Linked DNA regions of Bombyx mori. Each later gene encodes a partner of the first gene's protein in a complex. Links are inferred from orthologs where the notes say so. Each region holds a gene or a part of one and is shown in the gene's direction. Other genes may lie near its edges. The genes, in order: DNA-directed RNA polymerases I and III subunit RPAC1; Znrd1; DNA-directed RNA polymerases I, II, and III subunit RPABC4.

Region 1 (10,719 bases):
TAATTTTTGCGTTACCGCTATCTATTAGTTCTATCGCTGTCTTTGTACTGCTATCTATTAGTGATTTTAGAGCCTTCCACATAGATCTAATGGATGTTTGTAAATAATTTTGCAGAATATTCTGCCATTATTGTTCAAATGCTTTGCTCGGTTGCGCAACTGTTATGGGAACTGAGTTTCTTTGCTAGGACATACAGCTATTTTTCCGGGCTGCGTGCTGGTCATGACGCCATAGATAATAAATACAAATAATTTATTATATAAGGCTGAAACTGCTTTGAACGTCGAACTAATGCCGCGCTGTGTGCTTTACATTATGTTTTCATTTCAGTGAATTATTTATATAAAAATTCACTTGCGCTTGTGCGCCACATACGTAGCCACTCGTGAACATCAATAATGATGTTTTATTATTGTGGGTGTCCAGGCGAGTTCACTAGGTTTTTTTTTTTTTAAAACATTTATTTCAGAAAAAATCCGTAAAATAATTATAATACAATAGTCAGCACACAAACAGTTCAACAATACAAATAGAAAATGAACAATATACTAATTCAATTAATTAAATATACAAAGGAAATGAATTAGAAACACATAATTATATCAATACAGTAGTAACCACTCTATGTCAATATTATGGTATATATGGTATTGAGTGGTTACATTTTTTTTTTGTCAGGAGGAAATCACCGGATTTCCGCCCTCCACTAGGGATGGGGGGCGGGGCATGTCGGAGTCGAACCGACTAAAACCTCCTGTCGCTCAACAACCAGCATCCAAACCTCGCATGAGACAGAACTCATGAAAAGGCAAAGGGGGGAAAGTGAAGCGTTTAGTGCGGAGCACATCTCTCCCATCACCCTCCCCCTCGGGAAGCCGGACTGGCGGTCGTCGGCGCCACGACCACCAGCCCTTTCGGTCGGCGAGTGGTTACCTATTCACAATGTAAATGCTACCACCCATCGTGAGAAATAGGGCCGTAGCTTGCATTGACAACGGCGGTGCCACCCTTCGAATTGGAGCTCATGATTGTTTCACGACAAGTGTAATATGTATATCAGGATCATGGCATCCAGGTTTGCGAGCATACGTACATACTCTTGCTAGTATCAGTAAATCGGTGCTGGTTAGCGATCGCACATTTCTGACATAATCACAGAATGTCGCTGCCTTTAGCAATTCGCTCAGGTGAAGCCCGTGAATTCACTTGGCGCGAAATTGGAATAGCCCCTGACGCTACCAACGATTAGGTAAGGAAAAATTAAGTTGCAGACGTTCCCTGATTTATGTAATTTCATACATATGATTATATGTATATTATAATATATTCACCAGGGAGATATATATTTAATACCTTGCAGCGTTTTACGGTGAGATAGGCAATGGCGTGAGGATGTCTACCTCGTGTGCCTATATTCCACGTTTCAGCAACACATTTATGTATATTTTATCGTAATTACATTACGTAATTAATGTAAGATTATTTACGGTTGATTTGATTCACATAATGGAATTAGTAAAGTCAACAGATGGCATTAGGCATAATTAAAACTACTTTTACTTAAATAGTAAAAGTATCGTGCGGTTTTTTTTCTGAAACGAAAACAACCCGAAAATCCCCGATCGTCATCATCTCAAAATATAACTAGTTACAGTGGAACCGGCTCAACTGTTCTTGTCATTACATCAAAGAAATTACAGATAAATTTGGCAACATACCGTTCATTCATACTACCTGAAGCCATTGCGTTCATCCACAGTGCGTTTCCAGATAGGTATCTTTTTGGCCACGTATCATCCGGCTTTGGAATGAGCTCCCCTCCACGGTATTTCCCAAGCACTATGACATATCTTTCTTCAAACGAGGCTTGTGGAGAGTAGATGCTTAACGGTAGACAACGTTTTGGCTTTGTCCCTGGCATTGCTGAAGTTCATGGGCGACGGTAACCACTCACCATCTGGTGTGCCGTACGCTCGTCTGCCTGCTAGGGCAATAAATAAAAATAAAGCATATTTAGACATGCGGCCATTTAAATCATTTTAAGGATCACATCAGAAATTAAGCCAGTCGGTATAGTTAAGTGTAGCATGTCTTTACAGGATCCTACGTCTGTAAACAGGACGGTGACGTGACAAACATATTGCTCAAGTTTTTAAGCATAGAACCTATACGTAAGTGTCTAAACCAGAGTTCCCCAAACTTTTTTGTGTCGTAAACCCCTTGCCATGTTTTTCCGTGTTGGGTAGACCCCCTACTTACCTGATATTGATTTCCTGTAAATTTCTAACTGTATTAAAGTTTAGTGTTAAAAACTTAAAGTAAAATCACATGTTAATTTATACATTTATTAATTGAATTTAAATTAAAACTACTCAAAATAAAATTTTGTATCTGTTATATAAAATATACGTAACATAAAATAAACTATAAATAAAATAACATAAGCAATAAATCAATATTTTTAGTGAGAAGGATGAACGTGATGCTTTAATAATAAATTATCAACATTTGGCGTCAATTTTAAAAGGGTTAATCTTAAATCTCGTCGGCTAATGATGTCTTGATAGTAGTCTAAGATAGTATGATGTAAGTAAATAGGTACTAGCAGTGTATGTGTTGAGATCCACTATCGTGGACCCCCAAATTTTTTTTCGCTGACGTAGACTCCTTGCAGGTTGTCATAGACCCCTAGGGGTCGATATAGACCTAAAGGAATCATCAGAAGGCTACTTTGAAAAAGCGGCGTGACACGATAACCGTCTTATCTTGGCCGCCGCTAATTACATATCCGATCCAAGCGACGGAGAAACACAAAGCCGCTGTCACCCGAAACATGTCTAGTCGGATCCCCCGGATTCACCATTGAGTTTCTCGCCGGATCTTCTCAGTGGGTCGCAATTCCGATCCGGCGGTAGATTCTGCGAAGCACTGCTCTTGCTAGTAGCCCTAGCAAGAGAGTGATAACAAGTTCTCTCAGGATGAGCCCGTGAGCTCACCTACCCTTCCGGGAGGAACTGGAATAGCCCCTTAGACTACCAGTGAATACGTTGGCGGGGAAAAATCACAGGCAAGAAGCAAATTAAGCAAGCAAGTTAAGACTCGCTAAAGAAAACACGTCTATTTTTTTAAGCAATGCAATTAACTTATTGCCGCCATTGTAGCTGTTTTCAACTCTATAAAAATATTAAATAATTTTTATATTTTTAATTCTTTAATACTTAGGTACACATTCAGGCATTCACACACGTGCTTTATGAAAAAATATATGGATCGGAATGAAGTAAATTGGATTTATTTGAGATTGTAATCAATTGGGATAAAAATAAATGAAACAAGATGGAATGGAATGAAAAAAGTGTCTGTAAAATGGGGATTACTTACTAAGAATTCGGTGGACTTTTTGGAAGAGCCCGAGAAGCCACGTCCAGCGAATTAGTCTCATCTTTGCAGATGCTAAACATTAAGAATACTAACTACTCTTATTATACGCTTAAACTTGAAGAAACACCAATATAAAAAATTCAAACTATTCACACAACTTCGCTCTTTGCATTCCCACCAAAAAGTCTCTATTAAATTAAGCCATGTCCCATACCATATTTTCTTGTTAATAAGTCACCGTTAATAGTTGTTAAAGCCTAAGAAAACACTAAATTAACAAAACAAATAATTCACACTTCCCTCCTCGTTCCTCACATTCTTGTCAACAAGTCGTCTTAAAGTTAATAATGTTAGCGTTTCTTAAGTAAATAAAAAAATAATAATAATAATGATTTCTTTTTGTTTCCTTTTGTTGGAGTTTACTCCTTTAGAATCGATTTACATATATAGGCCCGGGGTATGAAAATTATGGGGACCAAAATCGTACTAGCATGTCACACGAAATGCGTTATGCGCCTGATTGGCTCCTGATTGCGTGATGCGTGCGCGCGCCAATCAGGAGCCAACGCGCGGCCGCGTTATCGCAGGTGACGCCGGGCTGCTGCGCCGGCAGTCCGCCACAAAGCCTCGTACTGATCGCGCGTTTCTCTCATTATTGTATTTTCATATATTTGTTAGTCGTTTGTTTTGTGTCTCGTTAATTTGTTAATAATCTGTAGTGTATCGTGTTGTCGTAATATAGAACTATTTCTCGTATTGTTTCGTTTAATTTTTTATATCCAGTAAACTCCAGTCGTGCGTCGGAGCGGACACACACACTTTTTTCATTTCTTTCTGTTTCGATTTACATAAAACAGACACGACTTCACTTACTGTAACAAAAATTAGGATTGTATGGTCTTTGATCCTTTTGCCCAGCGAGTTGTCAATTCAAACAAGTAAAAACCTCTATTTATTTTCCAATACGGTACGGTACCGTACCGTAAAATGGGGCGATTAGGGACAAATTCCAACTTTATGAGCAATTTTAAGGTAGTTGTTGATGTATATAATGCTATATCAGGATCAAAATGATTGAGTCTTGGGGGCATCTTTGTTGTCTAATTTAAAATTATGCAACTAGCATTCCAGTTTAAGCAAAAAATGCAAAAATAGGTGTAATCTCTATTTACCCGAAAATTGCGGTTAATTGGGATGTAATGAGAAATTTGCTAGGGTTGGCACTATTTTTATTTTTATATATAGTTTTAATTTATTTATTTATTTAGTTGCACCAACAAAGTGATCATCAATAAAAAAAAATGAAAAACTGACAAAAGTACATGGCAGACATCACCTCAATTATAGGTGCAATCGACAGTGCTGATATTTCTATCTGGGTTAAGAGATTAGGTGTGTCGGTTATTCCATGGATTAATCAGATGAATACCCCCACTCTGAACAAATATTAAATATTTTATTATGTATTACTTAGACATTTTTGTCCACCTTGAGATTTCATTGATCTTGTTACATGTCTCTGCAAAATCGACTTACTTATATTAAATTGCTTATCTATTTCAAATAAAGACTTATTCCCAATTTCGCTTCGAATAAACCAGATATTTACCAACAAATTCAAAAAATATTGTTATAACTACATAGACAACCCTACAAACCTGTACCTATTTATACTTAGGTCGTTTCCATTTCACGTATTCTCATCCCAATTGACCCCTTTTTCGTTGTTATTTGTACCTAAGACGTCCCCAATAACCCCAAAAACAACAGATTTTTACATGTATTTTTATTTAATCAAATACATTAAAAGCAATAACAACTGAGACTTACCTTTAATATATATGCTGGTTCAAACACTAAATAACGTTTATAAATCATAGTCGTCTTCTATTATTATCAAATAAATAAAAGAGAGCAAAGTTTCTAGCACTAAAATAATGACCACCACAGGAAGTTAATTTGAAACGCGATTTTTTATAAGTTAGCAGCTATTATCATGCATATTCAGAGTTGTTTTGTGAACTTTCAACATTCTACTATTAAACTACAAAAAATGGAAGATTTTGCAACGAATATAAAACTTATATTGAGCGTCGAAAGATTTTCCCGGTTTTTTCCCGATTCGCCTGTCAATCCCTAATCGCCCCATTTTACCGGTACCGTACCTATGTACCTACATAAGTACAAACTTACATTACTTACTACATAGTCAAAGTTTAAATTACCTACTAAAAATTACTTAAAATCACTACTTAAGTGTATAATCTATGATCACTACCTTACGTAAAATCATCGAAATATTTAATTTTGTCAATTATATCTGTATAAAAATATGCGACAAACTTTATATACAGTAAACGTTACTGTATACCTGTGAAATAAGATAAAACCTTATTTACATTAATTAGTAAAATATTGCAAAAATGCCTAAATTCGATGAAAAACCCCGAGTTTTTCTTGAAGAATTCCGTGTTAAGGTTCTCCTTTAAATTGCAAGACTTATTTACAACGATAAAAATGCACATGATCATAACCTAATAATTTTTGCCCGTACAGAATGCACCCGAAGATTACGGATTAGACGATGAAACATGGGACTTCAAAAAGTTTGTGAAGAAGTTTAAGATAGTTGTAGTACGAATGGACAATTTCGAAATGGAATTTGACTTGATTGGGATCCAGCCAGCATTTGCGAACGCATTCCGGAGACTCATGTTAAGTGAAGTTCCTAGTATGGCTATTGAAAAAGTAATGATCAAGAACAACACTTCTATAATACAGGATGAAGTTTTAGCACACAGATTAGGATTGATTCCTCTCAAAGCTGATCCAAGATTGTTTGAATATAAATCTGAAGGTTTGTGTACAAATTATTACAAAGCCGAGACCATATGTGGGCATTCGTTTTGGAAGATGATTGTTTTCTGTGAAATTGGTTGTCTAATTATTTTTTATTTATCAATTACGTAAACTAGTACACTAATAAAACCACAAATATTCATTTTTCTAGTATCCTAAAATTGACAATTTAGAGCTGGAATGCAAGATGTTATTAAATACTCACTTTTATACCTCAATAAACATTTATATCTCATAATCAGTAAAGTTTTCACAGCCTAAAGGATAAGATGCCTGGTCCATTTTTATTATTGTAACTATGATGAAATAAAAAAAGTTAACAGAAAATAAAAGAATTGTTTGAGCAGCTCTTGTAAATAATTTGAAATTTTATTTTCAGAAGACACGGAAGGAACAGAATTCAACACTTTAGAATTTTCACTAAAAGTAAAATGTACCAATAGCAAGTCACAACCAAAAGATTCATATAGAGCTGAAGATTTGTATGAAAATCATAGTAGTGAGTTTTCTGTATATCAATATAATAATGTGTAACAAACAGCCTATTAATGTTTTTAATATAACAGTAGATCGCAGATCAGCATATGGCCCTGGTATTAAGCTTGCTGCAGTGCATAGATATAGGTGATTCACTCACATTAAGATATGGGATTGAAGTTTCCATTCCATAGCAAAACAGCTATCCTTACAAACTGGATTCCTTTGCAGTAGAAATGGACAAGATAAATTATGACTACCAATACCAAACTTATAGAATGTTACTGCCATTTTCTGGTAAATTTTTTAGCCACCTGTAACAACACCATGGTAAGATATAGAGTGGTATTGTTGTATGCTGATAGGACAGAACACAGAGCTGATTTTTTGAACTATGGACTAATCTATGAAATTTATATTTATAGTTTTTTTATATAATGCTAGATGATTTTGTTATTCTTAATACTTAGTTAATTACAAATATGTTTATACAGTTTATTCATCCCATATGAAGTGGCATCCAATTGGCAACCAAGCTACAGTTTATAAAGAAGCTGATGTGGGTCCTGTACATAAGGATATTCTTATATCAAAAATGAGACCTGGCCATGAAATAGACCTTCAAATGATTGCCGTGAAGGGCATAGGAAAGGATCATGCAAAATTTTCACCTGTTGGTTAGTCCCTTCTTATGAATATTTTATAAAATGAGATAAGCTTATTTTAATTATTAAAAAAAATGGTTTAACTAACATATCCATTTTATTCTACAGCAACAGCTACATACAGATTGCTGCCAGAGGTAACACTGACTCGTGAAGTTTGTGACAGTGAAGCCACACTGTTGCAGAGTTGTTTCTCACCAGGTGTTATTGGTATTGACTCTAAAAACCGAGCATATGTGAAAGATGCAAGATATGATGCATGTAGTCGTAATGTTTATAGATATGACACAATCAAAGATTCAGCAATCCTAAGTAGAGTTCGGGATCATTTCATATGTAAGTAGCCATATGTAAATTAATGAAATCATAAAAATGCCACAAATAATTACATGTGCAACAGTTTTTTTGCTATCAATGCTGGTTACCTCAAGGGGGTCTAGCTTCACCTAACGTGTAGGTAAGCTTACAGGCTCAGTCTGGCGAATTTGCTAACACTAGCCCTAGCAAGGGCAGTGCTTCTCAGAATCTACCACTGGATCGGAATCGCGACCCAGTGAGATGATCTGGTGAGAAACTAAGTGGGCTGTGTCTAAGGTTTAATTTACAAACCCAAAAATCTAAAAAAGTAAAAAAAGCAAAGGCTTATGTTTTCAGAAGTGTTTATATTTGTATCTATGTTGTACATAGGTGTTCCTACACTACTCATCTGATTTCAATGAATTTGACAAGTGACAAATCAATTCCTTATTATGATACAGATAACATAGGCCACATTGGAAATTATTGAAATTAATATGTTACATCCAAAAAACGATATTTGCCTCCAAGACAGATAGATAGACATTCAATATATATATTATATGAATGTTTTTTATTTAACAAAGATTAACATGTATCTAGGTATATAGGCTATTTTATATATTGCACATTGGTGTGTTATAATTTAATGAAGCTGACTAATGATTTTGTTTTATCTTTCAGTTAATGTGGAATCAGTTGGAGCAATTCCACCTCAGATAATTTTTGTAGAGGCAGTAAAAATTTTAAGAGATAAATGTAGATCTTTTTTGGATGAATTAAATAAATTTAGTTAAACTGGTCTTAAATAATGTTTTTGTTGCCCTTTTAAATATTTTCTAGTTAATCTTGCCAAAGAAAGTATGCATTTATAGTCATGATCGAACGTACAATGTAACTTTGAATTTCATTGCATTTACAATTTAAAGAAATTCGTTCATTTGTTTTGCTAAAAAATAATGGCTATCATACAGTAAATAATCAACTTAAAATAAATTTTATATTTGCATTAAATTCGGTTTTGGTTTTTGATTTTTTTAATCACATTAGGAATTGTAGTTTTGTAAAGAAGCTATTTTAATATTTCACTTTGTAGTAGTAGTAGCAGCAAGTTATTGTACTTTCATTAAAGTATCATAACTGCATTTTTTTTTATTATTTGTCTAATCGGATTTACTAAAATTCGTAAATAGTGTATTATAAATCTGCGGCCAAACCATACGTACGAAGGCAAGTAGTGTTATATGAATAGCAATTTTTATATTTATGGTAAAACAGCATGGATGAAAATATACTGGTGGTGAAATTTACTGGTTTACTGGCAGGACCTCTTATGAGTCCGCACGGGTAGGTACCACCACTCTGCCTATTTCTACCGTGAAGCAGTAATGCGTTTCGGTTTGAAGGGTGGGTCAGCCGTTGTAACTATACTGAGACCTTAGAACTTATATCTCAAGGTGGGTGGCGCATTTTCCCTATAGATGACTATGGGCTCCAATAATCACTTAACAACCAGGTGGGCGTCGAAAGAACTAATAAGTAAAAAGGCTCTGCTTAAAAACCACCTGTCTATCGCGAAAAAAATAATGCTGTTGTTCCATTATAACTTTTTTTGAAGACTATGTTCAGGACTGCTGTTTAAAAAGTTGTTCCAGAATGAACTACAGTGAAGTGCACAGTTGAGGGAAAATTAAAAGAAATAGCAGGCCGTGACATCTCGGGTTCTCCCAAAAAGTCTATAGAACTCTCAATAAATTTTGAATCATTTTAATGAGAGGTTATTGCACTTTACCTCGTCCAACACACGGTGCTATCTCACGTTATTTAATTCCATTTCATTTTTTAAAATAGACATGACTTCAATAATTGTTGCAAAAGACTTAATTGTATGAGCTATGTTCCCTTTGCTTGTTCAATGGACGAATAATACAAAAAAAAATGCTATGAAAATATTTACCTACATTTTGGGAAATGTACTCAAAAAAATTGTTGTTTTATTGAATTTTAACTGATTTCTTACGATAATGGGTAGCCTTGACAGAGCAATCCTAACTGGGTTCATATGTCGACTATGTTCTGAAATGCACCGCATTGTGATACATATATATGGTGAAGAAGGCATACGACTATGTATTTCAGAAAAAATCAGTCGATATCTCACCATAAACGTAAGTACTGTATTTTTTTCTCACAAGGGTGAAATAATAAAAACTAATTACGGTAACTGCACAATAAAAATCAAAATTACAGATTTCTCGAGCCGACCCACTCCCAAAAACCATTTGCAAAAATTGTTTGGAAAGACTTGAAAAACAACACAAACTGGTAATGGTGATGGAAAACGCAGCCAACATGTTAAAAGGGCGTAAAACAAGGGCTGCCAAAAGTGAAACAAAGCAGTAATTTATTGATAATTGAAATTGTAACTTAATACATGCAGTATCTAACAATTCATAAGGATTGTCATTAGGTATATGTTTCAAGGACTACGAAATTACTAATGTACTCGTAAATATGTTTACATCGTAGGTAACTTCTGTGCTGATGTAGCTAAAGTAAATTATAAGAAGGTTCATATTCTGTTTTGTTATTATCTAACATTTAAAGAAATTTGGAGTATGTTTGAGAAAACAAATGGTTTCATTTATACATGAAAAGTGATAATATTCATAAGAATATTATTAAACTTCTTTGTTACACATACATAAGTATGCTGTGTTTTAAAATAATTTATTTTAAGTATTAGTATTAGCTATATAAATTAATTTGTAATTATCACAAATTGGTGTGTTTGTTTTTGGGAACGATTTCTCATTAATTTAAGGATGATGTTGCTCCCCCAGCTGAAATGTTAAGAATAAAGTATCTCAATATGAACTCAATATCTCTCACCCTTTTTTTATCACTACATAGATAAGTGAACAAGCTTAAAGCTCATCTGGTATTATTAAGTGGTTACTGGAGATACATTGAGGTTGACAATCGTTGTGGAATAATGGTTATCCTACTCTTGAAACTACAAACCATATAGGCCTTGTA
Region 2 (9,816 bases), on another chromosome or scaffold:
ATTAAGAAAGTTATTTTATGAGATAGCGACAAAGTAGAAAAATGCAAAACATTCAATGACATTACATTAAGCTGTTGAATATTTTACAATTTACTTCACCTCAATTTTCTTTTTGGATCCTCTTTTAGATCTTTTCCTGGTTGCTAAGTTTTCTTCTGATATATCAGGTACAACTTGCGCAGCTTCTCTCTCTTTTTTCATTCTTGCTTCTTCATATGCTGATATCAGCTCAGGACAGTCAAGGTTGTCTTCTGGTTCCCAAGTGTTGTCTTCACTGAAATTATTTATGTAAGCATCTTTAAGAATTATTTTAGCTGCAAATTGTTGATTTCTGTAGGTGAAAGAAATAATTAATGTTCAAATGAAAAAAACTTAACACTACCTGAATATTCATGTGAGAAAATGTGGATTTCTTAAAGTTAAGAACAGTGTTTCAGACAGAATTGAAACTATTGCTGAGATATATTGCTATTGATAGAGAAAATTCGAAATGCATTAGAAATCTAATTTCCAGACATGCGTAAAGCTCAAAATAATTGAACAGTATGTGGGTAGCATTCTAGAAAGGTAAAAAATCCGCTAGTACCTATTGTCAAAGCATGTTTACAAACATTGTGTAGGTACCTAACGTAGGAACTTACTTAGAGTACCCTTTCCACTTTAACAGATATTCGACTTTCCCGTTTTTAACCCTTCTGTCAAGTATTTTCTCCACAGAAAATTCTTCTGGTTTCCCGCCGGGAACAACAGTTCCAGGTTGAGCTAAAGTGTTGTCCGTCTGACTAGTCTCCATGGGTTGTGCCGGTTGAGCATTTTCTGCGAACGATAGCTCTGCTTCTAGTGATTCATCCATTAGTTATGAGATAAATGTCTAAATTAATGGTAAAGCGTGTTCCACAATAGAAAAAAAGTAGGTACCAATAAGTTTTCGAAGCCTAGAATTGCACAGCGGACTCAAATTTTCATAATTTGGCATTTGACATTGTTGTTCGAATAATTCGTCCACTAGAAAGGCAATGAGTACTTCGGCTATACAGTCATAATTTTATAAGAAATAACCAAAATCATCCGTATGGAATAAAAAGTAAAATAAAACTAAATTTAGAAATAAATTAATAGGACTGAGTGAGGGACATTAGATAGCACTGCAGGTATTGGGTGAAATGAAATGAAGTAAGCTCTTAGTTTATTAGAGCAATTTTATTGAATTCTATGGAGCTCATGGAAGAACGCAAGTAGACACGTCCAGTGGTTTTGTTTTATTTTTACAAATATTGAACGTTTAATAAGCAACTGTTATAATAAGTTTCAACCTGAGGAAGTACCAAATAAAACAATGCACACAACTTCCGTGCAAAAAGGCTCCTGATCCTTCATCTAGAAACCCCCTTTAATAAAATCCTCTTTTACATAAATGTAGAATTGAAATTATTATCTCAATACAGTTTTATAAAAGTCTTTGACATTTTTATTCTATCTCCCCATCTGTTAGATACTCTCATCTATCGTTCTTCCCTCCTTCGACTTTTTCCAAGTTAAGTTTCCAACATAAGCAGTTTGAAGTCTTTCTACCTAAATGTACTAACGGACAATTTCATTACTATAAGTACTATGACAATGAAATCTCGGATTTTGAAACCCAAACATCAATTAAAAAAATTTAAAATCATTGGGCATTTCGTCTTTTAGGCTGTGTTTATTGTATTTATTTATAGTGAATTTCATAATTTCACATATTTATTTTATAGAATACCTGTGGTGAATGGTTTTTTCACACACAGACTAACAACGGGAGAGATCCCGAAGAAAATAAAAAAAATACATGTGTGCAATTCACACGTGGTAGAAGTGAAACCTTCCAAAATTAAAATACAATTATCCTAAACGTCATAAATACCTAGTCAGGTCATAAATTCTGTCACATGTTTAATGTAAAATAATTGAAACAAGTTTATTCATTATGTAATCATTCATATACCAAAATGAACTTAACAAAACATAGATTCTTATGACACTAAAGTTTATTCAAAATGACCTCCGTGATTTTGAATACAGGCCTTCGATCTGCGCGGCCAGTCGTCTATCGCAGCACGAACGAGGTCCATGTCAATATCGGCGGCTGCATTAATCAAGGATGTCTTGAGTGACTCCAAATTGGGATGAGGCTTTGAGCACACCTTTTCCTCCAAGTGTCGCCATATCTTGTAATCTAACGGATTCAAATCTGGACTGGAGGAGGGCCAGTCTTCGTGCCGGATGAAGTCGATTTCACGCGCCGCCAGCCAGTCTTGTGTGCTCTTTACTCTATGAGCTGGCGCCGAATCTTGTTGGAATACCCAGTGCCTGTTATTGAACATGGTATGAGAAACAGGTTCCACAAGGTTCGTCAGGAATGTATTTTGATACACAACTGCATTGGTTTTTACACCTTTCTCACAAAAATGTATCTCTGTTAAGCCCCAATAAGAAACTCCCAACCATACCATGAGCGAGGATGGAAAATAACCTCGTTGGACACGCGGAATACGGTTGCTCGCTTCTTCACTATGTACGCTGCGTACACCTTATCATTTTGTTTGTTGTAGCTCTTTTCTACGGTAAAAATTTTTTCATCCGAAAAAAGAATTTCCCGATATTTTTTTCCCGCGTACCGCTTCAACAAAGCGCGGCATCTCTTCAGTCTCAGGTCCATTAGACGAGCATTCAAACGATGTCCTGTTTTTCTTCGATATGCCCGAAGCCCTAAATCTTCATTTAACACCCTTTTCACCCTGGTTCTGCTTAACCCCATCTGAAGGGCCAACAGTTTCTGCTTACGTTTGGGATTTCTTTGAATTCGCGCCTTCACAGCTTTTATCACTGCTGGAGTCCTAACAGACCGAGGGCGACCACTTCTTGACCTGTCATCTACACTAGAGTCTTCATTGTATCGTTTGATGGTACGATAAACGAATCTTTTGGTTATATTCAAAATTTTCAGTATGTTAAAAATTTGAATTGGCGCGTAACCGCAACGATGCAACGCAATACCTGCAACATGGTCTTCTTTAAGCGTCCACTCTATATTTAAAAATGAGTAAAATTCTAAAAGTATACATTTTTATTTTCATGAACAATTCGAAATTCGAATTCAATAAACTTTTTTTGTGGCCAGCATTTTAAAAGAAAAGTTTTTACTGTGTGACAATACTTATGACCTGACTAGGTATATGTAAAATTTTGTCATTAGTAAATAATTGTAAGGTAGCGCCCTCTGTGAATTGTTATTTTAATTTCACGTATAATCCTAAATTAAAATTCACTACAAGAACTTTCATACACGCGTTAGTATTAAAAAATCTCACAGATGGCGCTGTATTAAATAGTATGTATATTTCTGTCTCATTCTTTGCTGGCTTCATCCTACACATTTTTGTATTTGTGTCTCTTACCTGTCGTTTTATCCGTTGCATCCGGTTTGAAATCACAACGATTCTAAAGAAGTTTTCACTTCAAAAGACAGGCTGTCAGTTTGAGGGAAAAATGTCATGATATAAAAAAATGTGTTTTACGTTTTTAAAAGGTTCAAAGATAAAAATCAATTGATTGTTAATGTATACGATTTTAAGGTGCGTGTGGAATAAATAAATGCTTCCTATACTGCAGTTTGAGTTTAATCCGCAACGACGACAGTTGTCAACATATTTCCTAAATACCTACTAATCTATATATGAGAAACAATGAAGATGACTGATTTTAGAGATCCACTATTGAAGAATTGCGTTTATAATTTCGTTTATAGAGTGGAGTTAGTAATAGTGTAAAGAGCAAGAGCTAAAAATGAGCTGTAGTAGACTGTAGTGGTTATATCTACAGCTACTGGGAGCGTTCTGTAGTTCTGTAGGCATTGTCACAGACTGTGGTAGAGAGACAAAAAGTCCACCAAAACTAAAACGTAGAAGTGCAATCTTCATTATTTTAATTACAGCACGTCATTTCGTATCCTCCCGATCCACTAACGGTGCTTTTAAGCACTTCAAATCACCAGTCATCGTTCTCGTCGAAACCGTCGCTTGCGACAAAGGGCTCGGCGAGTAAATTAACCCACAGACACAACCCACTGAGTTTCTGGCCGGATCTTCTCAGTAGGTCGCGATTCCGATCCGCTGGTAGATTCAGAGAAGCACTGCTCTTGCTAGGGTTAGCGTTAGCAACGTCATCAGGTTTGAGTCCCGTGAGCTCACCTACTTGTTAGGTGACGCTAACATAGCCTCTCAAGGCTATGAGCTTAGGTAAGAAAAAGAAACAGTTACTGAACTTCATCTTTTCAAATTTTAGTTACAAGTGATCTAATACTATCAGTATGGGCTATGTTTCCTTTGTCAATTGTCAAACAGTTAAAAAAAATTGTACGTAAGTAATGAATTTATCATTATAGTAAAAAAAAAATAGGTTTTTGTATAGCAAATACTTAGGGTATGTATACACTAAAACTGTCTAAAACCCTTCACAAAAATATATAGTATGCTTCATATTGGTTTAAAAATATATTTTGGTTATGTTTAGTACTAATAGATAAAGATTTAAAATAACCTAATATTCTAAACAAAAATACACAACCCTTTTAGTGATAATTGTGTTTACTTTTAGAAATAATGTCCACTGAAAGCCCGTTATCAACTAGTACAGCGTTTTGTGCTCGCTGTGGGTCCATATTACCCTTGCTACAAGAGTTTGGCTCCGTGAAATGCTACACTTGTAAAGCACATTATGAGGCTGATAGTAAGTATATAGTTGCCAATGAAAAAATTACTTTCATATAAACGGGATACGATTTTTCAGCGTTATGCTTTTGTATAATTTTCGAATATTCACTATTAAATTTATAATAAATAAAAAAACTTTAGTGATACTTATGAAATCCAGAAAGAACCTGTTGTATTTGTTTTCGAAATATAAAATAAAAACTTAAAAAAATGTTTTATTCAGAAATTCTTTTTTTACAGATTATAGTAAAATGAAATTTCAATACACAATACATTTCAATACTATATCTGTGATCACAAATGAGAATATACTACATACTGATGGTCCTGAGGGTCCAGTTGTGGAGAGAAAATGCGCTAAATGCGGTTACGACAGAATGTCATATGCAACTCTACAGTTACGATCGGCCGATGAAGGACAAACAGTTTTCTACACATGTATAAAGTGCAAGTATGTAAATTACAATATTTATTTGTATTTCGATGAGCAAGTCATCAATATCTGTACTTGTATTAAATAAAATTGGACCCTACCACTAGCCTAAGACAGGAAAATAATTGCAACTTGTGGCCAAATTTCCTTGGTAATATAAAACTGGACATAATAATGATCTTGTAAGCAACTACTATCTCAAAAATAAAATTATTTCCTAATTTAAAAAAGAACACATCGTACAAGATAATATCGTAAAGTATTATTTATTTTCAGATACAAGGAAACTGAAAACTCCTAAAGGCTGCTTTATACTAGTTTTAAGGTTGTCAAAGGAAAACTCGGCAATAGAATCATTGTATCAGAATCACTTTATGCAAAAATCAGTTTTACTGATTGTTTTAAATTAGGTAAATTTAATAAGGATTAAAATTAATCACCATGTAACTGGTGCGTAATTTTAATTCCATTTCTTGGAATGATAACTTTTAAACTGTAAATTCTATACTGATTAATCTTAAAAACCATGTTTTAAAAATTACATGTAATAGAATCAAATCTGAATAATTGAAATTATAAACATTTGTCCAAATGTTTTTTTTATGCTGAGAAATACATTTCTATTTTTAAATAATAAGTTCAATGAAAGTTTCTTTTTCAAAAGGTTTTATTTCCATGTTTCTAAAACCATAGCAATATTGAAGAGTTTTATGCAACAAGTTTATTTGGATCTTAGTGTAGAAGATTTACATTTGACAATTTTTGATAAACTTATAATACACTACTCAGAAATAATTCTATGTAGAACAAGCTCGGCCATATTAGTTTCCTACAGTAAGCATAATATGCCTGTATAACAAAAGTACACACTGCTAATCTTCCATAGTAGAAGTCACTGGATTCTGTAATACATACATATTTATTAAGGAAAATTTTTACCTGCCTCCTAAGGCCTTATCCCTTGATACTAACACCAGCACAATCGCTTGATACTTGTAAACCGGCATCGTATCCTATAGACCACAACAACATCAAGTGGGCTGTGAGCTAGCGTAACCATACAATGAAGAAAAATAATCGTAGTATTGGCAACAGTGTCCGTTGTGAATGATGTTTTAAAATGAGATTTTGCTCTAGAAATGTGGGCAGAAGCTATGATGTGGTTGTTTTAGATCACTTACACATTCTCAAGTAATAACAGTGCCGTGTCAATTGCTGAGCACCTGAGGTTTACTCAAGGCAAAACAATATTCATATAATATGTCATTACATAGAAATTCCAACTTTGAGTGAGAAACTTATCATTATTACATTTTCCTTTAGCACATTGGTTCTCAAATTTTATGCTCGTCAAATCTAGATTTTGGTAGTGATTTGAACAATTTTCCAAGTGGTCTTAAAGCACAGTCATAATAATCTGCTAGTAATCTAAGACTATTAATAGTAACGAATCGACACTTCCAAAGGCATACAATTCATACGGCGGTAGTAATATCTTGCATGTGTTTGTTTTGCCTTACAATATTATTCTCACGTCCAACTAAGAACAACTTATATTAAAAAAAAACAATTTAGCCAGTAATGGTTTTGAACAGCAAAAACTTAAAATATTGTTTCCTTAAATTGTGAGACTTTTCATAAACAAATTACAATGTTTTGTCACAAGAGAAAATAATGCTATGTGATTTTGAACGCGCTACAAATAAAATGTAGTTAATTATTAAATAGACCAAAATACCATTCGAGATAATAAACTTTTAAAATAGACATTTTAATGGTAGGCAGCGGCTTGGCTCTGCCCCTGGCATTGCTGACGTCCATGAGCGACGGTGACCACTTACCATCAGGTGGGCCGTATGCTCGTCTGCCTACAAAGGCAATAAAAAAAAAAAAAAAAGACAAAGCTAACAAAAAAATGCCTAACAAAATATATATCTCATTAATAAATTATGCCAATAAATTATGCCTAAACTACAATATTTAACAAATAAATTAAAATGAGGTTTGCGTGATCAAACCGGCAGCTATCTACGAAATACAATTTTTATTATAAACAATCTAGGCTGTCGTGACGGTTGAGAGCCGCTGTCTTAGCCTATTTCTAGAGTACTTACTGTCAATTGTCAAACGTTTGTTTCACACATCAAACGATGCCGCGCAACAACAGTTCATTCACAAGCCGCAGGTGAAACCTACTTTTCACATTCAATACACGCTACCTTCCGACGAACGAAGTCTTTTTTAACGTGCCAGAAAAGGATAGGTATATGTTTCAACTGTTTTTTTTTAATACTGACGGAAGGGTCAGCTTGGTTTTTCGGCTGAGAGCTGGTCCGAGCCGAGATGAGGCGGTAATTAATTTGATCATTCGATGTACGTTGCGTACGAACGGATTAGTGATGGACACAGTCGATGAACTTATATTATCGAAATTAATATGAAAGTATGTTCATGGTAGACACAATTAAAAATACTTCTACAGTTTAGCATCGCGTTCTTTTTTTTCTCATAAAATTATTTTCGACGTTTATAATACTTTAAATATTTCATGGTCACGGACGACTAAGAGTTGCCGCGGAGATTAAAGTAATTTTAACTATTATAAAAAAAGCAATTGATTTTATAAAACACAGTTCGATATAATCGTTAACAGACCTTTATGCGGTCTTCCAGCGACAACAAACTGGCTTTACCGGCCGGTATCGAACATGAATCTCGCCAATCACTGCGGGCTCGGATCGTGTTTCAGCTGTCAAGATCAAACCTACACGCGGCAGATAAATGAGTTTGCTTTCCCCTGTCATTCAGAGCTTGCCGCGTCCTGCCGCCCGTGGCGACTCCTGCAGCGCGAACAAAGCCTCGCCAGACTAAGAGCAACTATAAAATTAAAATACAAAACCTAAATAAGATTTTTAGGTTTACCAATTAATCAAATAAGTTTACCAATTTATCAATAATCGTTGCGTTATTTTCGTCAAATGTTCGGGATTAAAAAAACCTGCATGATATATAGAGAATGATCTTATGCATAATAATAGGTAAAACGTCGTAAATAATCTCTGTTACATTAAAATTGTTTCATAATTAAAATCTGTGTGACTAAAATCGTGTAGTAATAATGAAATCTGATGAAAATTTATAGTTTACGTAATTAATACACGATTTTGATGTCGACCATAAGACTTAGGATGAGGTATTAACATTTGTGATATCTGTTAGCTACGGTAAACATTTAACACAAACGGTAGTTAGCTCGTTTGCCCATAAAATACCTCAGCGTTTGATACCAAAAACAGTAGGGAAACCGCTTAAAGAGGCGACTCGATTCCTCGAATTAAAAATATGGCTTCGTGACGTAAAACCTTAAGTAGGTACCTCTTTATGCATTTATTGATCGTTGAGTCCATAGGGTGTACTATTAGTTTAAACATGAAATAGTACAGCCCTTAGCCCTCAGACACAGCCCACTGAGTTTCTCGTCGGATCTTCTCAGTGGGTCGCGTTTCCGATCCGGTGGTAGATTCTGCGAAGCCTCTCAAGGCTATCAGATTCGGTAGGAAAAAAAAGTACAGCCATATTTTTTGCTTGATTTTTGAATCTGAATGAAACCCAATTGAATGGTAGAACAAATTTCCAAAATCCATGTTTGCTTATTTATTGCTTAGATGGGTAGACGAGCTCATGGCTCACCTGGTGTAAAGTGATTGCCCGAGTTCATAGATAACAACAACGTAAATGCCACCTAGTCTAGAGTTCTAAGTCTATGTTTTATACATAGTACATACAACGGCTGCCCCGCCCTTCAGACCGAAACGCATTACTACTCCAGAGCAGAAATAGGAGGTGGTACCCATACGGTCTCACAACACACGTAACTACTTGTAAGGATATTTATTTATCTATCTAGGCCTGATATGAATCTAAAATGAAGTAATATAGGTAATTTATTTATCGATAACATCGACAAGTGACCGTCACTAGCTACGGTAGTGCAGGTGCCAACCAGACGCGACGGCGCGCCAGTCTCCCGCGGCCGTTGTTCCGACAGCACGTCAATATCGGCGATCCAACTAATTCCACATCCATCGACACGTGCGTGGCGCAACCCTAATCCGTTGTTCTAATTCGGGATTGTGTTCTGTGGACTTGTGCCGGGGACTTAAGTTCGTAATAGTAAATAAAGGCGGTGAGTTTTTTTTTTTTACTTTTTTTTATATTCGCGTCAAGCCGCGGCTATGTTTGATTTCGGTGCGAAATTCTGTAATTCGTTACTAATCGATACGGGTAACTTTTTCCGGCAATTCGATACGTTTTAAAATACTTATAAGACGTGTTTTAAATACGCCTCGTATTCAAGTGGGTCAGTGTAACGTGTAAATAAAAGGTATTAATGATACTTTTACTTGTAATTTACTATGCGCGTTTTAGTTTAAGAAAAAAAAAAACCGATTGAGCTGGAACGCGAACGAATCAATTGACGCGTTCCACATACTTTGTTCACACACGTTTCTATTAGTTATATTTTTAAACGAGTTTGAGTTTACAACATAAATAACGTCAAGCTTAATATAGAGAGGGAGAAAGAGAGAGAGAGGGAGTGAGAGAGAGAAAGAGAGAGAGTATTCTTTATTGTACACC
Region 3 (10,606 bases), on another chromosome or scaffold:
AGCAGTTGTCTTATACTTCAAAGGGATACTCATAATTGTTTCATGACAAATTGCTAAAATGGTAACAATCTTACCTAACAAGTCCACTGTATGTGTCACTGCTCATAATTATGCAATTTAATAAATTTTACAGGAGAATAAGGGCTTTAAAAAAAAAAGTTTTGATTGCTTAGATAGGTGGTCGAGCTCACAGCCCATCTGATGCATCTATAATGTAAATGCCGTCACCCACCTTGAGACATGAGTTCTAAGGTCTCACTTTTAACAGTACAAAAGCTGTCATACCCTTCAAACCAAAACGCATTACCTACTGCTTCACAGCAGAAATAGGCAGGGTGGTGGTACCTTCCCGTGTGGACTTCTAAGACGTCCTACAACCAGTAATAAGTGTTGTACCACAGCATTTATCTCTATCTGATATCCATGATTATTTTGAAAGATTAATTATTGTTTAAAATTAATATATTGTTTATACCTGCACTCATGGCCACATTTATTGGAATTGCAGTTTGCACATGGAAAATGGCATCCGGGACACTTCTCATCGAGGCAATCACACAAGTCTTTGCCAGTTTCAGCAATATGACCGTGGTCATCATAAATTCTCTTCACTTTTCGACTGCAACATTAGAAATATTGACTATTAAATTGATGAAAATATATTTATATATATTACAAATTCAGACTTGAACGGATTCAATAGAATAGAAATTGTTTCAACTTACGAAGTGAAATATTTTTTCCTGTTTGCTTTTCTACGTTCACGAGCTGAATTTTTAGGATCAAAATTATCTAAGAAACGCATCTTTTAAAAAGTACATGCTACAAACACAAAATAATATTAAAAAAATATTCTCTTCCGCGCGTTATTACCCGAATACAAACGATATTTAATTTATTATTATTATTATTTATTATTATATATTTATCCGGTGGAAGATTCTGCGAATTCTGCGACTATTTTTGTTAGGCCTAGTGTTAGCAAATTCTCTCAGGTTTAGCTAGTGAGGTGAGCTCACCTACCCGTCGGTGAGAAGTACTGAGAAGCTGAAATAGCCAGCTGTAACCGGTAAACAATATATAATCTTACTCTATGCGGTAAACTTTGTGAGCAAATGACCTTGACTGCGCAGAACCGAATTTTAGATCACTTTGGTGGTGAGGGTGAGGCGCGACGGCAGGGGAAATCGTATCGAGCGCGTTGTTGGTAGATCAGTCGAACCTTGCGTCCCGCACCGCGCCCTCGTTCCCATAGATTATACACTTAATATATTTGAGACTCGTTCCGCTTGCTCCCAAAAGTACGCTTGCGTACAGTGAAAAGTCTATTAATATTAATCGTTGAAGTTATTTGTTATAATTATTATTGTTTGTTGATTTTGTTGTTATTGCTATTTGTTGAGTGTTTCTTGATTTTTTATAAAAAATATACTATGCCACGTCAAACTGGTGTAGTATTAAAAAGACAAGCTAGAAAAATGGTGTACGACGTATATTGCTTTCTTAAAAAGCAGGGAAATAATGATATGGAAACGGTAAAAGAGACTTCAGAGGCAACAAAAACATCAGTCAGTACTGTTAGGCGTATTATTAATGAAGCGAAGGGCTCTAACTTGCTCGCCGTGTTTCGTACTCCAGGTAAAAAAAGATCAGGGAAGAAGAAAGTTACCGGAATTGATAGTTTCGACCAATCTGCAATAAAAAGATGTATTCATAATTATCACATAACAAACAGCGAACTTCCTACCGTCGAAAGACTTCGTAAAAAATTGAAAGAAGATATAAATTTTAATGGCTCGGAACGAAGTTTACGACGAATTATGAAAGAGCTAGGCTTCAGATGGAAAAGAACAGAAAATAATCGGAAGCTATTAATTGAAAAAAGTAATATTCGACTACTAAGGATCGAATATCTCCAAAAAATAATTAAATATAGGCAAGAAGGAAGACCGATAGTGTACACCGATGAGTCCTATGTCGACTCATCACATGCAAGTGGTATGTCGTGGTCAGATGGATCAACTGGGGGTTTAAAAAAACCAATTTCGAAAGGACAGCGTGTAGTAATAGTGCATGCTGGCTCCGAAGATGGATTTGTTCCCAATGCCCTTCTTTTGTTTAAAGCTGGCACAAAATCTGGTGACTACCACGATAACATGAACTATTTGAACTACGAAAAATGGCTGCGTTGTCAATTGCTACCAAATCTGCCACCAAATTCCGTTGTAGTAGTCAACAATGCGTCATATCACTATAAACAGTCTGACCCCGCTCCAACTGCCAATGCCAAAAAAGTCTATATGAAGAAATGGTTACAAGAAAAAGAAATTCCATACGATGAAAACATGTTGAAACCCCAGCTTTTTAGCTTGATTAAAGCACATAAGGAACAACACAAAACATACAGCATTGATAAAATTTTATCAAACCACAACCATTCAGTGCTTCGCTTACCTCCATACCATCCAGACCTCAACCCAATTGAAATGGCTTGGGCAGCTATTAAAGGGTATGTCAGTAGCAAAAATGTCGACTGGAGCACTGGCAAAGTAATAGAGCTAGTGAAGGAAAAGGTCGCGGTGATGGGTGCTCCGGAATGGGGTAGAATATGTCAAAAGATAAAAGATATTGAGGCGGAGTATGTAAAAAGTGATCATGTGGTAGATTTAGTCACTGATGAGTTTGTAATTTTTGCTGACGATGATTGCGACACGGATGAAGAAAGTAGTGATGATGATGATGATGGTCATGATTATGATAGCGAAAAAACAATTAAAAATACCAGCTCAGCTTCAGCTGATCCAAGACCTGGCACCAGCTCCTAGTTTTGACCTAATGGAAGGAATATCTATTTTACCCCTAGATTAAATTACTACAATTATTAACCTGTATTTTTTGTTCATGTACTAATAAATATATAAATAAATACATATTATGTTGTTTTTAATAACTTAACATTTTTGTACGTAATTGTACGATGCGCGAACTTACCCCCACTACGTCAACTAATGCTCAAGAAGTTTGCCGAGTATTAAGCGAATAGGCAGGTGCAGGTAGGGAAAAAAATGAAAAAATATTTATTTCTTTGTTTACTATGTTTGTTTTTTTAAGGGATTTTATGACCTGGTAACTAAGACCTTTAGGTCAAGTCTTATTTTAATTTTAATGATAACTTTTTTATATGAAAAATGATATTATTAAATGAAATGAAGTTGATTATTGTGAAACATGGCATGAAATGAAATGAAAACGAAATGAAATGAGAAAATATGGGATGAAATATAATCTCAGTAAAATGGTGGTCATTTACTAAGATTTTTCAGTGGACTTTTTGGAGGATCCCGAGAAGTTACGTCCAGCGGCTTTGTTCCATTTTCCCACATTTGTGCACTTTCACAGATATTAAACTGCTAATAAACCACCATTATTACACATTTAAACCCGAAGAAACACTAAATAGACAAAATATAACAAATCACACAATATCACTCCTCGCGTTCCCGCCAAAAAGTCTGTTTTTCTATGTTTGGGAGCTTAATGCACAGATTAGCTAACTCAATCCATAAATAAAATGTAAAAAAATATGCCATTTATTTGCTTTACGGCTCACTGAATTTGGTCCCCTTTTTTAATTTTCGATTTTTTTAATTTTTAATTATTTGTTCGTCGTTTGTTCGTTAATGTTCGCGCGTAACAAAAAGGTAGTAAATACGGCCGTCGGCCATTGCCATCTGACTGACAAAACCGGCGCATGCGCAATGTAGGCGTGAGGTGATAATTTGCTTATTAGATATAAAATAATTAATAATTTCGAATTTACTTGTTTTTATGATCGAACAATCACCAATAGTCGTCGAACAAACAATAATTGATCAAAATTAATTAATCTGAGCAATAAAAACAAAGATATCTAGTAAGAGGGGCCAACTGAAGGGTGATCATTTGTTTAATTAATTATAAATAAATAAAAGACGAACAGATAATTTTACATTCAAACATTGACGATCAAACGACGAACAAATAATTAAAAATAATCCTCGGTTCCCCTCCAATGTCCCGATGATTTTTTCTTTTAAATTTCCACTCCTTTTTTTACGTATTTTTTTCTTCAACAAGACAAGCCCTCTTTTGAACAAAACGTTTTATGGTTTAAGTTCCCTTTGCGGCTTAATTAAACAAATCCAAAAACCATAGATTCTACACACAAAATAACAATCCAAAGCATAGATTATACACTTAATATAAAGCTTAAATCAAATTGGTGATTTAAAATAAAACACATTTTTTATTATTATTTAATTTTTCTCTATTTTAGCACATAATGGCTGACACAACTGGGAAAGAGCAATCAGTTACTAAAGTGCCAATGATATATGTTTGTGGAGGTACAGTGTAACCAAATAATAACAAAACTTCTATCACTTTGTAAAACACTAACACAAAATAACCTAATAATTGTTAGGTATCAGCATACCCCAATAATTGAATATTTTTTTTGTATTTCTTTTTCTCTTGATTTATGAACATTTTTTATAGAAAAAAGAAAGAAACTACTTTTAAAATGTTCTTACCGATAACACTAAGCTTGTCAATGTCTACTAAACAAAGAATTAATAAATCAGTTAATTTGTCTTTTGTGTATAGTAGATTATAAAATTATTCACACTGTCTTATAACATTGTATAAATTAAGGCGTTTTGTTTAATGTGTTATTGTTTTACTATATTTCAAATGGGGAATGCATCTGTATAAATATAAATGTTCTTTAGTAAAGCTAAAAGCCGTAAAAGCTTAAGTGCTTTTAATAAAACTTGTTAATATTAATATTAAAATTTAAAAAACCTAAACTTAAAAGTATTAGAAAAATGAAATTGATTCAATTGAGAGTAAATTATATTGTTTGCCCTTTTCTACATTATTGTTTTTGCCGATCATCTACTTCAACTGTTTAAATGTTGGTTTCTTTAATAAATGCAATCCTGAAACTATAATATGGGTCTGCAAAACAAATGATGCTTTCATTATCATTTTCAGAATGTCACAAAGAGAATGAAATCAAACCAAGAGATCCTATTAGGTGCAGAGAATGTGGTTACAGAATAATGTACAAGAAAAGAACAAAAAGACGTATCCTTTTGATTCTATAAATATATTCTTAAAGTAAAGATTATAGGACTAGGATACAGCCTAGTGATTTTAATCAGTAGAAAGGTATTGACAGGTATCACCCATATTTAATTCCTTCATTGTGGAAGTGATTCGTGATCACATTTCGAGAGTATATTTCTTTGGATATTGGTATATGCAATTTGCACATTTGCATGGTTGCACAGCTTGACACAACTACACCATCTGTTTTATCCTTTAGATCACATTGAGCTTGCAAGAAAATAAATGTAATAAATGAGTCGACTATTATCAAAGGCGGCAATCTGACTTTTGGACAATGATTGGTAAATCAGAAAAACGAATTATTGACTTTGTATTCCATTGGCAGTCACAAAACTCTTCGGAACGACATCTTAGATAAATAACAGGTTAACTATTAACCTTTATTTAATGCAGGTTTTGAACCGTATTCTTTGAAGGAGACGATTATATTCAAATAAATCTGTATTGACATATCAATAAAAAAAAATTGTCCAAATGTACAGATTGCCACCTTTGATAATAGACGACTCATATCTGTTAAAATCTTCAGAAAATTACCCTTTTTGTAGTTTGTGTTGATTTTAAATTCATCATATTTTTGTTCGTAATATTCTGAAAAATTTTCCTTAAGTAAGAATTCAGTGGTTGTGTTTGACGCTCGGTAAACGAATTCTGGAAACAAAACCCTAGAAGATAAGTTCGGTGGATACATCATGCACAGAAGAGTGAAATAAATTTATAATAAGGTTAATGTGTATTTTTGTTACTTTGTCTATGCTCTAATAATACTGACCAATGAAAAAAAATATATACAAGGTAGTTTTTTTATAGTAGATTTATAGATCTACATCATCACTTTACATTATATACTGGTGGTAGCCCATAGACATTAAAACATGAATGCCACCTACCGCCATGATATATGTGTTCTAAATTGTACCCAATAGATATAAGTAATCTGAATGATTTGAAGTATCAATCAACTTATTTGATGTTTCTAAATGAACTACTGCCTTAAAAAAAAAAGACTTAAGTGCAAGAAAAATATGTAACTTTATAGATAGATATCAAATGAGTTCATTATCTTTTTTTTTTATTGCTTCGATGGGTGAATGAGCTCACAGCCCACCAGGTGTTAAGTGGTTACTGGAGCCCATAGACATCTACAACGTAAATGCGCCACCCACCTTGAGATAAAGTTCTAAGGTCTCAAGTATAATTACAACGGCTGCTTCACCCTTCAAACCGAAACGCATTACTGCTTCACGGCAGAAATAAGCAGGGCGGTGGTACCTACCCGCGCGGTCTCACAAGAGGTCCTACCACCAGTAATTACGCAAATTATAATTTTGCGGGTTTGATTTTCATTACACGATGTTATTCCTTTAATCGTAAACATGGGTGGCGGCATTTACGTGTGACCGTTGGCCAGTTTTGCACACGACACCGCTAGTGGCGCCAGACGCAAAGTGTCAATATGGAGTACTTTCGTAAAACTTCCGTTAAATAATAACAACTAATAAAAAAAACAAAAGGGAAATATCTCAGTGTATTTTAATTATGTAACTTCATCATTATAAAGTTTTAACAATTTATTAAAATTATTACCTCTCATAATAAAACACCAGAAAATGTATGTCTAAAATTTTACAATAGCCACAAATATACATTTTTTTTCGATCCATAAAAACTATCAATAAATAATTGTTAGGACTCACGACATTAATATCAAATTTAATTTTTCACACATTCCTCTAAGTCAACTTTTTGCTTACGTTATATAATAGTGAATATAAACATGCTATGGGTATACACATGCATAAAGAAAATTTGAATAAAGAGATTTAATTCCATTCTATAGTTACCAACTCACTAATCATAATCAAAAAGTTTATAGCACATACAAATAACATTCTTGGAAACAAAATACAAAATCATGACAGTTTATGATCAAGTAACTTTACATGTTCTGTCTCGAATTTATATTATGTCCCAATTAGAGAACTATACAGATGACGTAATAAATTTCAATTTATCGGTAGTTGAAATATAAAAATTACATAGAAAAATATCAATTAAAAATCATTTTAAACTTGAAATAACTAAATGATTATCTTTAAAAAGCTTATATTTCTATTCGCAAGTGTTTTGAAAATAATAATTATGTATTTATTTAAAATCATACTAGTGGCTAACAGAGGAGATAATTTCATTGAAAAACTAATATGGAAATGAGCTATTTGTATTCTGTAAAATACGCATTTAAATATGTATTTATGGCTTTGCTGAATTAGTAGAGTTGACTTTAGCTACCTATTGTATCACAGAGTCCTCTTTAAATTCGAAGTCAGCTTCTTCATTAAAAACATTTGGCATTCGAGGACTAAATGTACATACATTTGTCATGTTTAACTTTCAAGCACCCATTATAACAAAGGGGAAAACCCTAGCTTGGGGACGTTTAATATGAAACGTTTAGTACCGAACCATTGAAATTTTATTAGATGGATTTAATCAGTTAGAACAACTTATTATTGTAGATAAGACCGCTTACAGGCCACCTGTGTGCTTAGTGCGAGCTTCTGAACGTTCTCGATAACGTAAAAGTTAAGCCAATTTTGTATGCAATTGGAACCGCCCCTAGCGGCAAACGTACGCAAGCGATCCCATTCCATACAAATATGACCTAACTTTTACGCTATCGAGAACGTTAAAAAAACTCGCACTAAGCACACTGGCTTAAATGGAAAAAGAGCCGCTCGCACAACAATGGAATAGCAAAGAATTGGAAACAATTTTATTGGATAGTGCGAGAATTATAACGTCGGATCACATTTTTGAGTAACATATCGAATTTTGATTTTGTTATTTAAATTGTAAACGGTTTGATCTTATAAGTAATGGTAAACAAGGGCAAGTAAAATTGATAGAGTCCCGTCTGTAATGAGAGATGAAAGGATGGATCATGTATGATTTAAAATAATGTGAATAATGACAATACCAGTAAATAGGCATTCAATTGAAATTATATTGAATATTATCATTTTTCTTTCATGCCAATCCGGAATTGGATTAATATTAGAAACATTATTTGTAGATGTGAATTATTTAAGTATGCATGTTATTTTGTTTAAAATATTTATTTTTTTATTTACCGCACTTTATGTCGCCTCTCGAGACTGATACGATTTATCGTTTCCGCTTGAATGTCTATTTCAACAGTTTTTTCAATTAAAACGTATAGCAGATTTTTTGTATAAGTTTTAGAATTAGGAGCCTATAATTATAAATCATTGATTAGCGTCGATGCCTTTCTGTTGCTATAAGCTTCTTGATCATAATGGTAGATTTAGGTTTTTATCGATTATGTACATATATATTTTAATAGATAGTTATTTATTATGGTGGTACTTAAATACATTTTGTACCTTAATAATTATGACAGTCCCGTGATATGATCAGACACAAGATATTTACAAAAATAACTAAGTAGTTTGTTTTTGAAAATTGATATTCCAATATGGTATAGTACAATAGTAGTATAAGGCGCAGTGCAGCAACCCAGTTCGAAAATATTGTAAAAATGTTATTGTAAATCTACATCGTTATTAAAATAGTTTATACAATATATTATATAACAATATAAGACATATATATACTACAATAAAGAAACATAATGATGATATCATATATTTTAAAAATTTGAATTTGATTTGATTGGTATTATTAATAGTGATATTTTCGAACAGCTTGTGGTCTGCAGCTTCAATGAAGCTTAATTTCATATTAGCGCCATAAAGCTTAATTTCTAGAAAAATAGTTTAACAATGAATATATATATACTTTTCAAATAACAGTACATTATATATAAAAAACTAGGCTCTGTAACCTATCCCTTACAAAAAAGACAAAACATGCAGATCATTGATCATTCACACTAATAATTATTTTTACATTGGACTATAAAAATTAAATGAATAATAGTAATGCATAATAGTAGGAATCAAAACTATACTACTATTAATATAATTTTTTTAAATCGGAGAGCCCAGCTTAAACATGTATACAAATTGATTATAACTTTAAAGAAACTAAATTCAATTTATTTCCGTACATTTTTATGGAAGACATTTTTGTTTTTTATTCATATCTACGTTTAGTGTATGGAAGTTGATATGCCAATTGTTTTAAATTTATGGAAGTAGTAGTTACATAGTATAAATATGAAGTGGTAAATATGTCATACAAAAATTCATACAAAAGTGCTGTTCTATTCTATATATCATCCGACTACTCCTATGACAATGTAATATGTTTGACTGATATTTAAGCGTAGTTTAAAAAATGTGGACCTCTTTTTTTTCTGTCGCAATAATATATCCCATCTAGGTCTTCGTTTTCAAATACAATTCAACAAATATTATCTCTGTAGAAATTACAAATAACAGTATTAATACATAATAAGACTTACATTAAAAGCAAATTTAACAAATTTAATATTACGTGGAGATATTTACAAGATACATATTAATATTTTTCGAATTTTTAATGTTAGAGTATGTTACAATCTTAAAGCGTACAATTGTTTTCACACGAATCTGAGTAACCCCAGCTTTAATAATTACACTTAAATTAAAAACAAAATAAAACTGCACATTAAAATACACTATGTACGTAATATAATTTTGGCACTAAATATCTGTGGCACTACAGTTAACACGTGTTTCCATTTCTTGATCTTCATTACCTTCACTTGTTTTTCCATTACTGTTTTTTTCACTAACACATGCGTTATCGGCGGGTGTGTTATCTTCGTCTTCCGACAGTTCCCTGCCTGCAGGTAGTTCTACTATTGTTAGACCGTTAGGATCTCGATATTCCAATTTTGTTGGATCTTTTTCGTGAAGCTTCCTTGCGAGCAATTGCAAGCTAGCCAGCGAACTATCACAATCTGTTGTGTCTATATCTGTCAAACTAACACCGGCGCGTTCAATCTCGGTGAATGTACCAAAAGGTAATTTAAACAAACACTCTAAACGCATAACATGCATTTTACTTCTTAAGTGTTTAGCAAGATGTCCATGAATTCGGAACGCTATATTACAGTCGGAGCATCTAAACGGTCTGGGATTAAACGACGTTGCTGCCCCGAATGTTGAAGTCATTGATATTTTGTTGTGATGTGAAGCAGACCGTTCGTGTTTTTGTAAATGACCCCGTGTGCGAAAGCTCACGGCACATATACTACATCTAAAGGGCCTTTCCATGTAATGAATATTTAGATGCAACCGTAGCTGTGAAGGTTTCGTAAATGTCTTATTACAAAAATTGCAATCTCTGCATCCGTCTTCCATGATTCTGCCAGGGGGATATGAAGAACTTTCAAGTTCTTTGCCTTTAGTAACCTTAAAAGCCACGCCACCCACACCAATTACGACTTTTGTCGCAACAGAAT

Evidence for each region.
Region 2: DNA-directed RNA polymerases I and III subunit RPAC1 (region 1) and Znrd1 share a complex: the UniProt entries of both Homo sapiens proteins name them as parts of the pol I pre-initiation complex. The link is inferred for Bombyx mori from reciprocal best matches to the Homo sapiens genes POLR1C and POLR1H.
Region 3: DNA-directed RNA polymerases I and III subunit RPAC1 (region 1) and DNA-directed RNA polymerases I, II, and III subunit RPABC4 share a complex: the UniProt entries of both Homo sapiens proteins name them as parts of the pol I pre-initiation complex. The link is inferred for Bombyx mori from reciprocal best matches to the Homo sapiens genes POLR1C and POLR2K.

Annotation. Positions count from the first base shown.
Region 1 is NC_085131.1:5,575,076-5,585,794, forward strand, and holds DNA-directed RNA polymerases I and III subunit RPAC1, read left to right. Parts: upstream 1-5,207; 5' UTR 5,208-5,805; coding exon 5,806-5,859; intron 5,860-5,938; coding exon 5,939-6,239; intron 6,240-6,620; coding exon 6,621-6,740; intron 6,741-7,212; coding exon 7,213-7,395; intron 7,396-7,491; coding exon 7,492-7,719; intron 7,720-8,364; coding exon 8,365-8,477; 3' UTR 8,478-8,492; downstream 8,493-10,719. UniProt on the Homo sapiens protein: DNA-dependent RNA polymerase catalyzes the transcription of DNA into RNA using the four ribonucleoside triphosphates as substrates.
Region 2 is NC_085112.1:11,749,172-11,758,987, forward strand, and holds Znrd1 (transcription-associated zinc ribbon protein), read left to right. Parts: upstream 1-4,628; 5' UTR 4,629-4,629; coding exon of another isoform or gene 4,630-4,634; coding exon 4,635-4,761; intron 4,762-4,985; coding exon 4,986-5,196; intron 5,197-5,454; coding exon 5,455-5,479; 3' UTR 5,480-5,770; downstream 5,771-9,816. Other genes in the region: chromobox protein homolog 1, read right to left, coding at 100-274, 642-816, 919-976. UniProt on the Homo sapiens protein: Core component of RNA polymerase I (Pol I), a DNA-dependent RNA polymerase which synthesizes ribosomal RNA precursors using the four ribonucleoside triphosphates as substrates. Can mediate Pol I proofreading of the nascent RNA transcript.
Region 3 is NC_085111.1:12,246,505-12,257,110, forward strand, and holds DNA-directed RNA polymerases I, II, and III subunit RPABC4, read left to right. Parts: upstream 1-4,128; 5' UTR 4,129-4,321; coding exon 4,322-4,385; intron 4,386-5,034; coding exon 5,035-5,127; intron 5,128-5,793; coding exon 5,794-5,816; 3' UTR 5,817-5,966; downstream 5,967-10,606. Other genes in the region: ARL14 effector protein-like, read right to left, coding at 476-619, 726-805; uncharacterized protein LOC119628526, read left to right, coding at 2,157-2,825; uncharacterized protein LOC101737452, read right to left, coding at 9,843-10,606. UniProt on the Homo sapiens protein: DNA-dependent RNA polymerase catalyzes the transcription of DNA into RNA using the four ribonucleoside triphosphates as substrates.